3 linked regions of the Xenopus tropicalis genome follow. Each later gene encodes a partner of the first gene's protein in a complex. Links are inferred from orthologs where the notes say so. Each region holds a gene or a part of one and is shown in the gene's direction. Other genes may lie near its edges.

Region 1 (3,512 bases):
GGACTGGGGGTGATAGGGAAGTTTGTGGCAGCCTTTACAGAGATGTCATAGAGCTATACCAGTATAAGTATTGTCCTGTATTAAGCACAGTTATTCTGCAGCTTATAGTTATCTTTTAAGGGAATTTTTCTTTTGTGCTGACAGAGATATCTCTTTTTTCCATTTCCAGTTCCAAATGTGGATCTTACACCCTTGTGCTCCTCTCAGTTTCGGCCTGGTCCCCCAGGGGAAGAGGCTCAAGTTGCCAGTCAGTTCATAGCAGATGTTATTGACAAGTAAGATGATGGTTGTTTGTGAACAAAGTGATGATCATGTTCCTGTGTCACTAAATAATAATATAAAAAACCATTAGTAACCCCCAGCCCTGCAATAACCACTTTGGCATCTTCTGTGCAGACTGTCATCCTCAGTCATACTGGGCTAAGGGCAGCACAGTGCCCCAACTGGGTGGGGTACAGATTTAAATTGTACTCTGTCAGATAATTGGGCTGCCCCCAGCCCAGTGTGACCTATGGATCTAAACCTAAACAATGAGGGTATAGGGGTATAAGAGCCCACAATTGCTTTTGTTGGGGGTTCTTATTTTACTAACTCAATTGTATAATTGAAATTTGTCAGTATCAGTATTATAGGATGTGTCATAATTAGTCTTACTGAAGATATAAACTTTTCCCACGTCAGGTTGTAGCCTGACTTATTCGTGACTTATGGTAGATATATCAATAAGGAAAGTCTCCGACATGAATCACAGGCACCAGAGAAAACCTGTGGAAAAAGGCTCTGCAAGGGCCACATGGCTAGATCACCCCTCTTTTTATTTACCACTTGGGTGGCCAATTGGCCAAAGATTTGTTCATTTGGTGACCCACCAAACAAGAGTATTGAGTGTATATTGCCTGTTGTAGCTGGTTTTCATTATTAATACAAGCAATACTGAAACAGGAAAAACAAGAGATGAAACAATTGTCCATGTAATCTTTAACATGTGTTCAGTTCCCAGATGCTCCTGAAAGAAGACTTGTGCATCGCACATGGCAAGGTATGGATCAAGTGATACAAACAGGCGTTTGGTTTTTAATAGTTATTGAATGTATTTTGGTGATGCTTGCAGGGGCAAACGGCCATTGCATTATTACATATCTGTATGGGAATGGATGCCCCAAATCAGGATGCAGGATTTGGATTCAGCCAAATTCTAGGTGTTCAGCTGTTCCGAAACACTTAGAGAAAGTCACAATTAATGCACTGTTGTTATTTTTCTTAAATACGCATAGGCAAATTAGATGGATTTGGTTTGGTATTCAGCTGATTCTTGTTTGGAGAATGCGGTATTTGTCGAAATCCAGAAATTGTGGATTTGGTACAGTCCTAATCTTAATCAGGGTTGGACTGGGCAGCCGGGACACCGGGAAAAAACCACTGACGCATTTCACTTAGGCATGCTCAGGGGAGGACGTTAGGGGCCCCTGCGGCGGGGGGGGGGGGGGGGTTAGGGTGCGTGGCAGGAGATGTGGCCAGCGGGGGCCCTGCACTCACCAGTTTCCATAGAAACTCTGCTCTAGCTGTACATTCTGCTGGAGAAACACGCAGAATTGTTTTTTAAGTTCTGCCTGTGTAAGCCTGCATTTTTGATTTTATGAACTTTGCAGCACACATGCTGTTTACAGATATAAATGTCACTGATGATTTGCCAGAGGGAAAATTGCAGCTGGGTGAAAGCTGCTATTTGTTTTAGGAAAATTGATGGTGCTGGCAAACAGAGGGATATATGTAATACAAATGATGCGGTGTGGGTGGGGGAGTTGTGTCCAACTTATATACATGGTAGGAAAATGTAGGGTTTACATGTAAGGTAAAATTTATAAAGGGCATTATATACTGATATGTATATGCCAATTTAGTTTAATTTTTTGAAAGGTGACCTAGTGGACTATAAATGAGCTATTGGTTATACTTTAATATTAAATGTATAGTTCCCCTTTGACTTATTTTTGTTCTTTCCCCTCTCTAGCTAGCATGGGTTCTGTACTGTGATCTCATATGTCTCGATTACGATGGAAACCTTCTTGATACTTGCATGTGTGCTTTGGTTGCTGCTTTACAGAATGGTAAGTCATTGTTCAGTGAAACAGTCTTTGAGGGTACAGGGTAAGAATGAAGTGCTGTACAGCTGTTGCAAGTCCTGTTGCCACTAAACCTCAGTGGGAATCACTTGTTTATTATTATGTCTGAGATTCATGTTAATACCAAATATACCCCCAGAGCAGACTGGCTCAGTTTGACGTTTTTGCATTGCTTATGCAATCCATTCCATTATCTAGGTCTGGCTGTCCAAAACCTCCCTATTGAACTTTTCCAGTTAGCGGTTGTTGCAAATTATAAGGTTTGTCTGTCATATAACCTGGTGCTACAGGGCTGATTATTAAATTATAAGGAAGTTACATGTTCAGTGTATCAGCAGAAAAAAAAATGGCATTTTATGAGACACAGATCTTCCCTGCTAAAGGGCTGGGGTTGCCTTGGGCTGGTACAAACCCCCAAACATAATGTACAACATTTTTACCCTACTTCTATGTTAAGCTTTAGTTTACCTTTAAAGTAGAACTAAACCATAAAAATGAATATAGCTAGAAATGCCAAATTATATGTATTGAACTTATTGCACCAGCCTAAAGGTTCAGCATCTCTATAATGATCCCTTTAAAGTTATGCACAGAAGCTCCTACATCTTTGATTTTGTTAGAAGTGTCAGTGACACTGCACATGCTCAGTGTGCTCTGAGCAGCTAAATTATCAAGCAGAAAATGAGGTTTGTCTGTAATATAAGCTGATGGTAATTGCACTAGTTTCTGAGATGACATACTAATAATTTTTATTGTATACTAATCAGTCTTATATTGTTATACTTATATTCAGCAGTGGCCCCCCTTCTCAAAAGAAAAAAAATGTGGGGGGGCGGGGGCCCGGCATGCTCTTGTGGTCCTGCATAAATATTTAAATGAGTGGCTGGGGGTGGGATCTCTAGGCTACAGACAAAGCAAACCCTGTGGTCATGTCCCCCTTGAGGTCTGCTTCCTTTATAGTTCAGCCGCAGTTTATATTCTATATATACAGTATAGTGTGAGTGGGTCCCTAAGCTCAGGTAAGTGACAGCAGCACAGAGCATGTGCTGGGAATCAGCAGAAAAGAAGATGGGGGCTACTGGGGGCACAGATCTTCCCTGCTAAAGGGCTGTGGCTGTCTTTGGCTCATACAAAATATAATATACAATGTTTCTCCCTTCCTCCTTTAGATAAAAGTTAGTTCTCCTTTAATGTGGTGAACTGTGTATTTACTACAAGCTACATATGTTGTGGTGCTAAATATTGCACATTAATGTAAGGGCACATCCTAAAGTGAAATCAAAAGTGTCCTTTCCTAGACCAGGCCATTCTGGTGGGAGTGGATAGGGAAAAAAACATGAGGCAAAATGATCAAACAGCGAAGCTTGAACTCGCCACAGTCTGTAGCAT
Region 2 (4,190 bases), on another chromosome or scaffold:
CCCATCAGTTAATAGAGCGTCTCCCGCTGAATCCTGCATTGTAATCTGTTTTTCCCATGGGGCTAGCCATATTCTTCATTTCCCAGGGTGCCACAGCCATGTGACCTGAGCCCTAATAAACTTCAGTTTCACTTTACTGCTGCGCTGCAAGTTGGAGTGATATCCCCCCCCCTCACCCCCAGCAGCCGATCAGCAGAACAATGGGAAGGGAGCAAGATAGCAGCTCCCAGTAGGTATCAGAATAGCACTCAATAGTAAGAAATCCAAGTCCGGCTTGGGACTCCTCCAGTTACATGGGAGTAGGAGAAACAATAGGTTAGCTGAAAGCAGTTCTAATGGGTAGCGCTGGCTGAAAGCTCAGACTCAGGCACACTTTACTGCTGCGCTGCAAGTTGGAGTGATATCCCCCCCTCCCCCCCAGCAGCCGATCAGCAGAACAATGGGAAGGGAGCAAGATAGCAGCTCCCAGTAGGTATCAGAATAACACTCAATAGTAAGAAATCCAAGTCCGGCTTGGGACTCCTCCAGTTACATGGGAGTAGGAGAAACAATAGGTTAGCTGGAAGCAGTTCTAATGTGTAGCGCTGGCTGAAAGCTCAGACTCAGGCACACTTTACTGCTGCGCTGCAAGTTGGAGTGATATCCCCCCCCCTCACCCCCAGCAGCCGATCAGCAGAACAATGGGAAGGGAGCAAGATAGCAGCTCCCAGTAGGTATCAGAATAGCACTCAATAGTAAGAAATCCAAGTCCGGCTTGGGACTCCCCCAGTTACATGGGAGTAGGGGAAACAATAGGTTAGCTGAAAGCAGTTCTAATGTGTAGCGCTGGCTGAAAGCTCAGACTCAGGCACAAGGCACTGAGATGGCGCCTACACGCCAATATTACAGCTACAAATACATTTGTTGGTTGAAGAATAAAAGGTTAAATGGCAGAGGGAATTATTTGCTGTGTAACAGTGTCAGTACTATGAATCTACAGTGAAAGGGAAAATGTAAATGCTCAGTGGAATGTTCCTTTCCTGGTTACTATGGGGAAAACCCATAGGTGAGTAGGCTGCACAGTGACAGGGGAACATAATATATATATATATACAGTTTCTGCTCAGTAACATGGGAAAATAACAGTGTGAAATAGGAAACATGGCTCAGAGCCCAACTGGGCCGCACAATAGCGCCATAGGGACCAGCAATAGGAATTAGCGCCACTTGTAACGAACTGAGGTAAAAGCGCAATTCTACTACACGAAGTAACTATCACTTTGGCACCGCCCCTTTATGTGACGTGGAGGCGGGCACCCAGACACTTCCGGAAAGAGGAACGGAAAGTGGCGGCGCGGTGGTTTCTGGGAGTTGTAGTTTATACCGTGAGAACGTGGTGCGGGATGGCGGGGCTGGAGCTGCTGTCGGACCAGGGCTACCGGGTGGATGGCAGGAAAGCCGGGGAGCTGCGCAAGATACGGGCCAGGATGGGAGTGTTCGCTCAGGCCGATGGCTCCGCTTATATCGAGCAGGGGAACACCAAGGCCCTGGCTGTGGTATATGGGCCCCATGAGGTGAGTGCTGGGGCCACACGGACGGGCTGAATGGCTCAGAGGCATTACTATAGGGGAGAGACCGCTGGGTTACTTGGGTGGGTAAGTGGGTGGCACAGTATGGGGGTGGGTAAGTGGGTGGCACAGTATGGGGGTGGGTAAGGGGTTGGCACAGTATGGGGGTGGGTAAGGGGTTGGCACAGTATGGGGGTGGGTGGGTATGGGGGTGGGTAAGTGGGTGGCACAGTATGGGGGTGGGTAAGTGGGTGGCACAGTATGGGGGTGGGTAAGTGGGTGGCACAGTATGGGGGTGGGTAAGGGGTTGGCACAGTATGGGGGTGGGTAAGGGGTTGGCACAGTATGGGGGTGGGTAAGGGGTTGGCACAGTATGGGGGTGGGTAAGGGGTTGGCACAGTATGGGGGTGGGTAAGTGGGTGGCACAGTATGGGGGTGGGTAAGGGGTTGGCACAGTATGGGGGTGGGTAAGGGGGTGGCACAGTATGGGGGTGGGTAAGGGGTTGGCACAGTATGGGGGTGGGTAAGGGGTTGGCACAGTATGGGGGTGGGTAAGGGGTTGGCACAGTATGGGGGTGGGTAAGTGGGTGGCACAGTATGGGGGTGGGTAAGGGGTTGGCACAGTATGGGGGTGGGTAAGTGGGTGGCACAGTGGGGGTGGGTAAGGGGTTGGCACAGTATGGGGGTGGGTGGGTAAGGGGTTGGCACAGTATGGGGGTGGGTAAGGGGTTGGTACAGTATGGGGTGGGTAGGGGTTGGTACAGTATGGGGGTGGGTAAGGGGTTGGCACAGTATGGGGGTGGGTAAGGGGTTGGCACAGTATGGGGGTGGGTAAGGGGTAGGCACAGTATGGGGGTGGGTAAGGGGTTGGCACAGTATGGGGGTGGGTAAGGGGTAGGCAAAGTATGGGGGTGGGTAAGGGGTAGGCAAAGTATGGGGGTGGGTAAGGGGTAGGCAAAGTATGGGGGTGGGTAAGGGGTTGGCACAGTATGGGGGGTGGGTAAGGGGGTGGCACAGTATGGGGGTGGGTGGGTATGGGGGTGGGTAAGGGGGTGGCACAGTATGGGGGTGGGTAAGGGGTTGGCACAGTATGGGGTGGGTAAGGGGTTGGCACAGTATGGGGGTGGGTAAGGGGTTGGCACAGTATGGGGGTGGGTAAGGGGTAGGCAAAGTATGGGGGTGGGTAAGGGGTTGGCACAGTATGGGGGTGGGTAAGGGGTAGGCAAAGTATGGGGGTGGGTAAGGGGTAGGCAAGTATGGGGGTGGGTAAGGGGTTGGCAAGTATGGGGGGGGTGTAAGGGGGTGGCACAGTAGTAGGGGGTGGGATAATGGGGGGGGTTGGCACAGTATGGGGGTGGGTAAGGGGTGGCACAGTATGGGGGTGGGTAAGGGGTTGGCACAGTATGGGGGTGGGTAAGGGGTTGGCACAGTATGGGGGTGGGTGGGTAAGGGGTTGGCACAGTATGGGGGTGGGTAAGTGGTTGCTGCTGGGATACTTACCCTGCCTACACACGGCTGCCTGTGCCCACTGCTAGTCCCGCCCCCATACCCCAGTTCCATGTGTAACGGTGCCCGTAACGCTGTGCCCACAGATCCGCGGCTCTCGCAGTAAAATGCTCCACGACCGCTCAGTGGTGAACTGCCAGTACAGTATGGCGACCTTCAGCACCGGCGAGAGGAAGCGCCGCCCCCACGGGGACCGCAAGTCCAGCGAGATGACCCTGCACCTAAAGCAGACGTTCGAGGCCGCCATCCTCACCCAGTTGTACCCGCGCTCACAGATAGATATCTACGTGCAGGTGAGTGGGAGGGGCATCAGCCAGTGGGTGGGGCATCGGCAAGTTGTAACAATAGTGCGGGGCTTAAATAGGGGCTGTTTCACTTTAAATTGACCTTAAAGGGGAGGTTCACCTTTGAGTTAAACTGTTAGTATGAGAGTGATATTCTGAGGCAATTTGCAATTGGTCTTCATTTTTATATTTGTAGTTTTTTAGTTGTTTCACTTGTTCAGCAGCTATCTGGTTGCTAGGATCCAAATTACCTTATCGACCAGGGAGTGGTTTGAATGAGAGACTGGTATATGAATAGGGGAGGGGCCGAATAGAAAGATAAGGAATAAAAAGTAACAATAACTATAAAACTGGAGCCTCACAGAGCAATAGGGTTTGGCTGCCGGGGTCAGTGACCCCCATTTGAAAGCTGCAAAGAGTCAGAAGAAGAAGGGAAATAGATAAAAAACTATAAAAAATATAAATAATGAAGACCAATTGAAAAGTTGCTTAGAATTGGCCATTCTATAACGTACTAAAAGTTAACTTAAAGGTGAACCCCCCAAATCCTTTAGTCAGTGGTCCCCAATCTGTGGCCCTTGGGCTGTACTAAAATTCCCAGCATCCCCCTGGCCACCAAGAGTAGTTCCTGGGAGTCACTATGTGGGGATATCTCAGTGGTGCATGTATGTGGTATCTTGGTGCTGCCATACTGGCTCCCGTGTTGTGCTGCGCTGGATATGATCACATGACTCTCCCTGCCCAGATCCTGCAAGCAGACGGGGGCAACTACTGCACATGTGTGAATGCCGCCACCCTGGCCGTGATCGACGCCGGCATTCCCATGCGCGACTACGTGTGCGCCAGCTCGGCG
Region 3 (4,201 bases), on another chromosome or scaffold:
GACAAATACTAGGCATATCCTAATTAAACTGTAGTAATAGTTATTTAATATGCAAGAATAAGTAATAATTAAAACCATCTAGTTTTGCTCCAGACCACGGGGCTCTTCAAGAGGTTATGTTCCCCTACAGGCCAAAGTGCTCCTCTGATTTCTGTCCATGACATTATCATTGTATTATAATCCAGCTCCAAAATGTATGGTATAGTGCTGGGGGAGGGGGTTCCATATTTTTTTTTCCCACCAGAGCATCACACATCTTTAATGCGTAACACCTTGGTCTTGCCCGTTAAATCACATAACTAAAAGCACAATTTAGGCTACAAGTATCTGCAAATAATTATGTTTTCTAAAAACATTTTACACTGCACCATGAAAAAAAAGTTAGAACACCTTGAAAATATATATTCTTTCCCGTATGCAAAAACACAGAGAATCCAATACAGTGTAAGCAATAACTGTGGTACAGTACAGAACTAGGAATATTACTAGAATGTTGCTTCTATAATACTCCAACCTATAATATTCCAGTCCCAGAACTGCTGATCAAAAGCACAGGCAATTTTATACAAATACTTATATATAGATATGTACAGGGCTGTGTATACAAGTAGCACTATACAAATATATACCTGGAAATATGTGTGTGCATTTTGGGAGTATGTATACAAACATATTCTTCCTATTTATATAGCTGAAACAATGTTGTCACCAGCTGGTTTATGGACAGACAATCAACCAACCTGTTATTTAAGGCTAAAGCATATAAATGTATATACTATATAAGCTGTAAATTCAAATGTAAATTTGACTCCTTACAAATCTAGTCAGCAATATCACATATTTTTACATAATTCTGAACTGTAACTATAACCCACGTTTATTATAGCATATAACTTTTAAAACACATCTCCCAATTCAAACAGTTCTTGTAGTTCCCATGTATATACGTCAGACAGGCATACTAGTATTTTAGATGCGATGTACCTTATGGTACAAGATGTGTATACTTCTCAGTATACAAGACCAGGGTCTCGCATTTAGAAATAAAACATTTAAACTCCCCTTCCATCTGATTATCGTCTGTTTCACTCACACCAACGCGACCCCTGTACTCCTCTCACCTGTCTCCCACCGGCGCCTCTCCACCCTCCTGCCACAGTCCGGACCCTTAGAAGTGCCCTCAGCGCCGCCATCTTGCTTCGGAATGCTATCCCACTGCCTACATTTCTCTTAGGACCCCTATTCAACAGCTTGTCAAAAATAACCTCTGAAGTGAGAAATTGCGAGAATTGCGTATTTCCTATTATTCCCTGGGAAAAAAGGCTTTGGCATTGTTGTGTATAATTATACAGGCAAGTGTGGCGGTTGCCAGACCCCAAGGACCCCGGAAGTGTTTGCACATGTGGAAAGAAGGTTCTGATGGAGGCTGTAGGTTCTGTATTGCGGGAATACGGGTGTGAGCAGAGTTTGCTGAGCCGTCCCGATGGATCCGCTACGTTTCTTCAGGGTTAGTTTTGGCGCGCCTATAATTCCTCAAATCTTATGTGGAATACGAGGATATCAAGGGATACATATTGAAGGGAAGCGTAAAATGTTTTGCGGCTAAATCATTGGATGGAAATTGAATTGTAAATCCAGTGGCCGTTATTCTCATTTAATGGAACAGCTCTTCCATGTTGTCATAATGCAGAGGACAGCAATGGGGAATGTATGTGTTGTATTTGTCTAAAGTAGGTGGTTGCTGAACTGCAAACTTGTAAATTAAGCAATTTTCCAATATAGGATAATAAAAAATGTTCATGATTTTAAAATTGATACAATTGTTACTGAGAAAAAAGTTTCAGCCTGTTTATTGCAACTCTCTCCTGGTTTCCCCAGCTACTCTTAAAGGAACAGTAACATCAAAAAATGAAAGTGTTTTAAAGTAATTAAAATATAATGTGCTGTTGCTCTGCAAAAAACTGGTGTTTTTGCTACAGAAAAGCTACAATATAAATAAGCTGCTGTGTAGCCACGGGGGCAGCCATTCAAGCTGGAAAAAAGGAGAAAAGGCACAGGTTACGTAGCCGATAACTAGTAGATAAGCCCCATATAATGGGGGTTTATCTGTTATCTGTTAAGTAACCTGTGCCTTTTCTCCTTTGAATGGCTGCCCCCATAGCTACACAGCAGCTAACTTATATAAACTATAGTAGTCTTTCTGAGGCAAACACACCAGTTGTAGCAATATAGGGCAACAGTACATTATATTGTAATTACTTTTATACACTTTCATTTTTTGGTGTTACTGTTCCTTTAACTACTCCAAATCTCACAATGCCTTGCTTGTTCTGCCATTATCAGCTGCAAAGTAAAATAAAAGAATAGTACAAGGCAAATTTGTAGGAACTGAGGTGGTGGTGAGGAGAGACATTTTTTATTTAATTATTTCTATAGTCTGGTAGCAAATAATAGCAAAGGCAGACAAACTGCTCTTGGAATTTTATTTAGAAATTACTTAAAAAAAAACATTTAACATGTTTAATTCCTGCATATTATAACACTGCTTAAAATTACAATTCATTTGTACAAATACATATATATTTATTTAGGAAAAGGTCCTTTAAAATATTGGACACCAAATTGAATTGGGGACAGACTGACCATACTCTTACTCTAGAGCTATAAACGGTCATGTACAGCACTGTGATTATGATACCTGTGTGTACGCATTTAAATAAACCAAAATATAGGGAATATACACCATATTAAAAAATATAAGGGTATTGGAAGTCTCCTTAGAGTGCCATGACCATATACAGGCACAGAACCAAAGGCCAAGTGGTTTAATACAGGTCATTGAACTCTGAGGTGGCTTCTAATATCCACATATTTTACAACAGAGGAGGTTTTAGTCAGTAAATTATACAAATTACATCACTGATCAATGTTGGTAAAGAAAATCTTGTGTATTATAGCTATAGGGGCTTGTAGTTTTGGGCTCCTAGGCTCTGCACCATATTCAATTTTAGAATAAAGATTAGAAATGAGTTTCAACAAAAAATGTGAGCTATCCTTACAAAGTAGCAATCCAGTACCATGTTTAGGTGGTTTATAGCATTTTGACCAGTTAATAATTTTTAATGCAGTATAATTTTTAATGCAGTTCTCCAGTCACACAAAAATAGATTAATTCGGAAAAAAGAAACTAAAGGGTGTAAGCACATTGACCTAGATATCAAGCAGGTATATCATGGTGGCTTAGAATTCACACCAAACTCTCTGCAACTCTGTTCTACCAAGCTGCATTGATCAAGACCTATCACTTTATCCACCTTGTGTACAGTTTTACTCACCACCTTTTTATACCTATCACCATTTGAAAACTCGAAAGAGGGACACAATTAACTGCCATGCTCCTCCCGCCATTTGAAAACTACAAAGAGGGACACAGTTAACTGCCATGGTATGACTGCACCCACATTTTACCACACCCAAAATACCATGATCATAAAATTAAAACTAAAACCAAAAAAAAAAATCCAGACATGCCAGTAAAATCACTGCATAAATAACCAGAGAAGCCTCCATTAACTAAAGACATGACCATAAGATCACTGCATAAAATGGGTAGATTGAATGCATTGCCTCACTTAAGTTGCACAAGCAGCAAATCACAAACTTGTTCTTTTCTAGTACCCCCATGGTGCTTGTCATTTTGCCTTTGCCTGAAAAGGCAATTTTTCCATTTCCACAGTGGAACTTACGGCCATCTGTGATTATGATTGGCTGTGTTTGAGCCCCTGCTGAGATTGCTTTAAAGAAGAAAGAAAGGTAAAAACTCATAATTCAGGTTCGTTTATATATCACACAGGCAGTAATCTGGCTACTGTAGTTTTATGTGACTAAAGCTGACATACATGCACCGATGCACCTAGTTTCATACGATATTCACTGTGTGTATGGTGGATCGACGAGGTGAACATCACAAAAGCTTCGGATATGTCGCCTCGTGGAACGGGCGGGACAGAAGACTTTTATACGAGCAAAATCTGTGTTTAGGGCTTAATTGTCAGGTGGAGGTAGAATCCTTATTGTTTCTACCTCCATATCTGACAATTCAACTCTGAATGCCAGTGGAGGGTGGGAACGATCTTTCCTGAGACAAATGGTTGCAGGAAAGATTGTAATTGTAAGGTGTATGGCCACCTTAAGGCTAACT

The links. Proteins that work in one complex are often made in the same cells at the same time.
Region 2: exosc8 (region 1) and exosc4 share a complex: the UniProt entries of both Homo sapiens proteins name them as parts of the RNA exosome core complex. The link is inferred for Xenopus tropicalis from reciprocal best matches to the Homo sapiens genes EXOSC8 and EXOSC4.
Region 3: exosc8 (region 1) and exosc5 share a complex: the UniProt entries of both Homo sapiens proteins name them as parts of the RNA exosome core complex. The link is inferred for Xenopus tropicalis from reciprocal best matches to the Homo sapiens genes EXOSC8 and EXOSC5.

Annotation. Positions count from the first base shown.
Region 1 is NC_030678.2:151,678,653-151,682,164, reverse strand, and holds part of exosc8 (exosome complex component RRP43), read left to right. Parts: intron 1-169; coding exon 170-275; intron 276-993; coding exon 994-1,039; intron 1,040-2,011; coding exon 2,012-2,108; intron 2,109-3,512. UniProt on the Homo sapiens protein: Non-catalytic component of the RNA exosome complex which has 3'->5' exoribonuclease activity and participates in a multitude of cellular RNA processing and degradation events.
Region 2 is NC_030682.2:151,308,980-151,313,169, reverse strand, and holds the start of exosc4 (exosome complex component RRP41), read left to right. Parts: upstream 1-1,378; 5' UTR 1,379-1,382; coding exon 1,383-1,553; intron 1,554-3,139; coding exon 3,140-3,346; intron 3,347-4,082; coding exon 4,083-4,190. UniProt on the Homo sapiens protein: Non-catalytic component of the RNA exosome complex which has 3'->5' exoribonuclease activity and participates in a multitude of cellular RNA processing and degradation events.
Region 3 is NC_030684.2:79,502,196-79,506,396, reverse strand, and holds the start of exosc5 (exosome complex component RRP46), read left to right. Parts: upstream 1-1,389; 5' UTR 1,390-1,419; coding exon 1,420-1,507; intron 1,508-4,201. Other genes in the region: bckdha (2-oxoisovalerate dehydrogenase subunit alpha, mitochondrial), read right to left, coding at 1,122-1,193. UniProt on the Homo sapiens protein: Non-catalytic component of the RNA exosome complex which has 3'->5' exoribonuclease activity and participates in a multitude of cellular RNA processing and degradation events.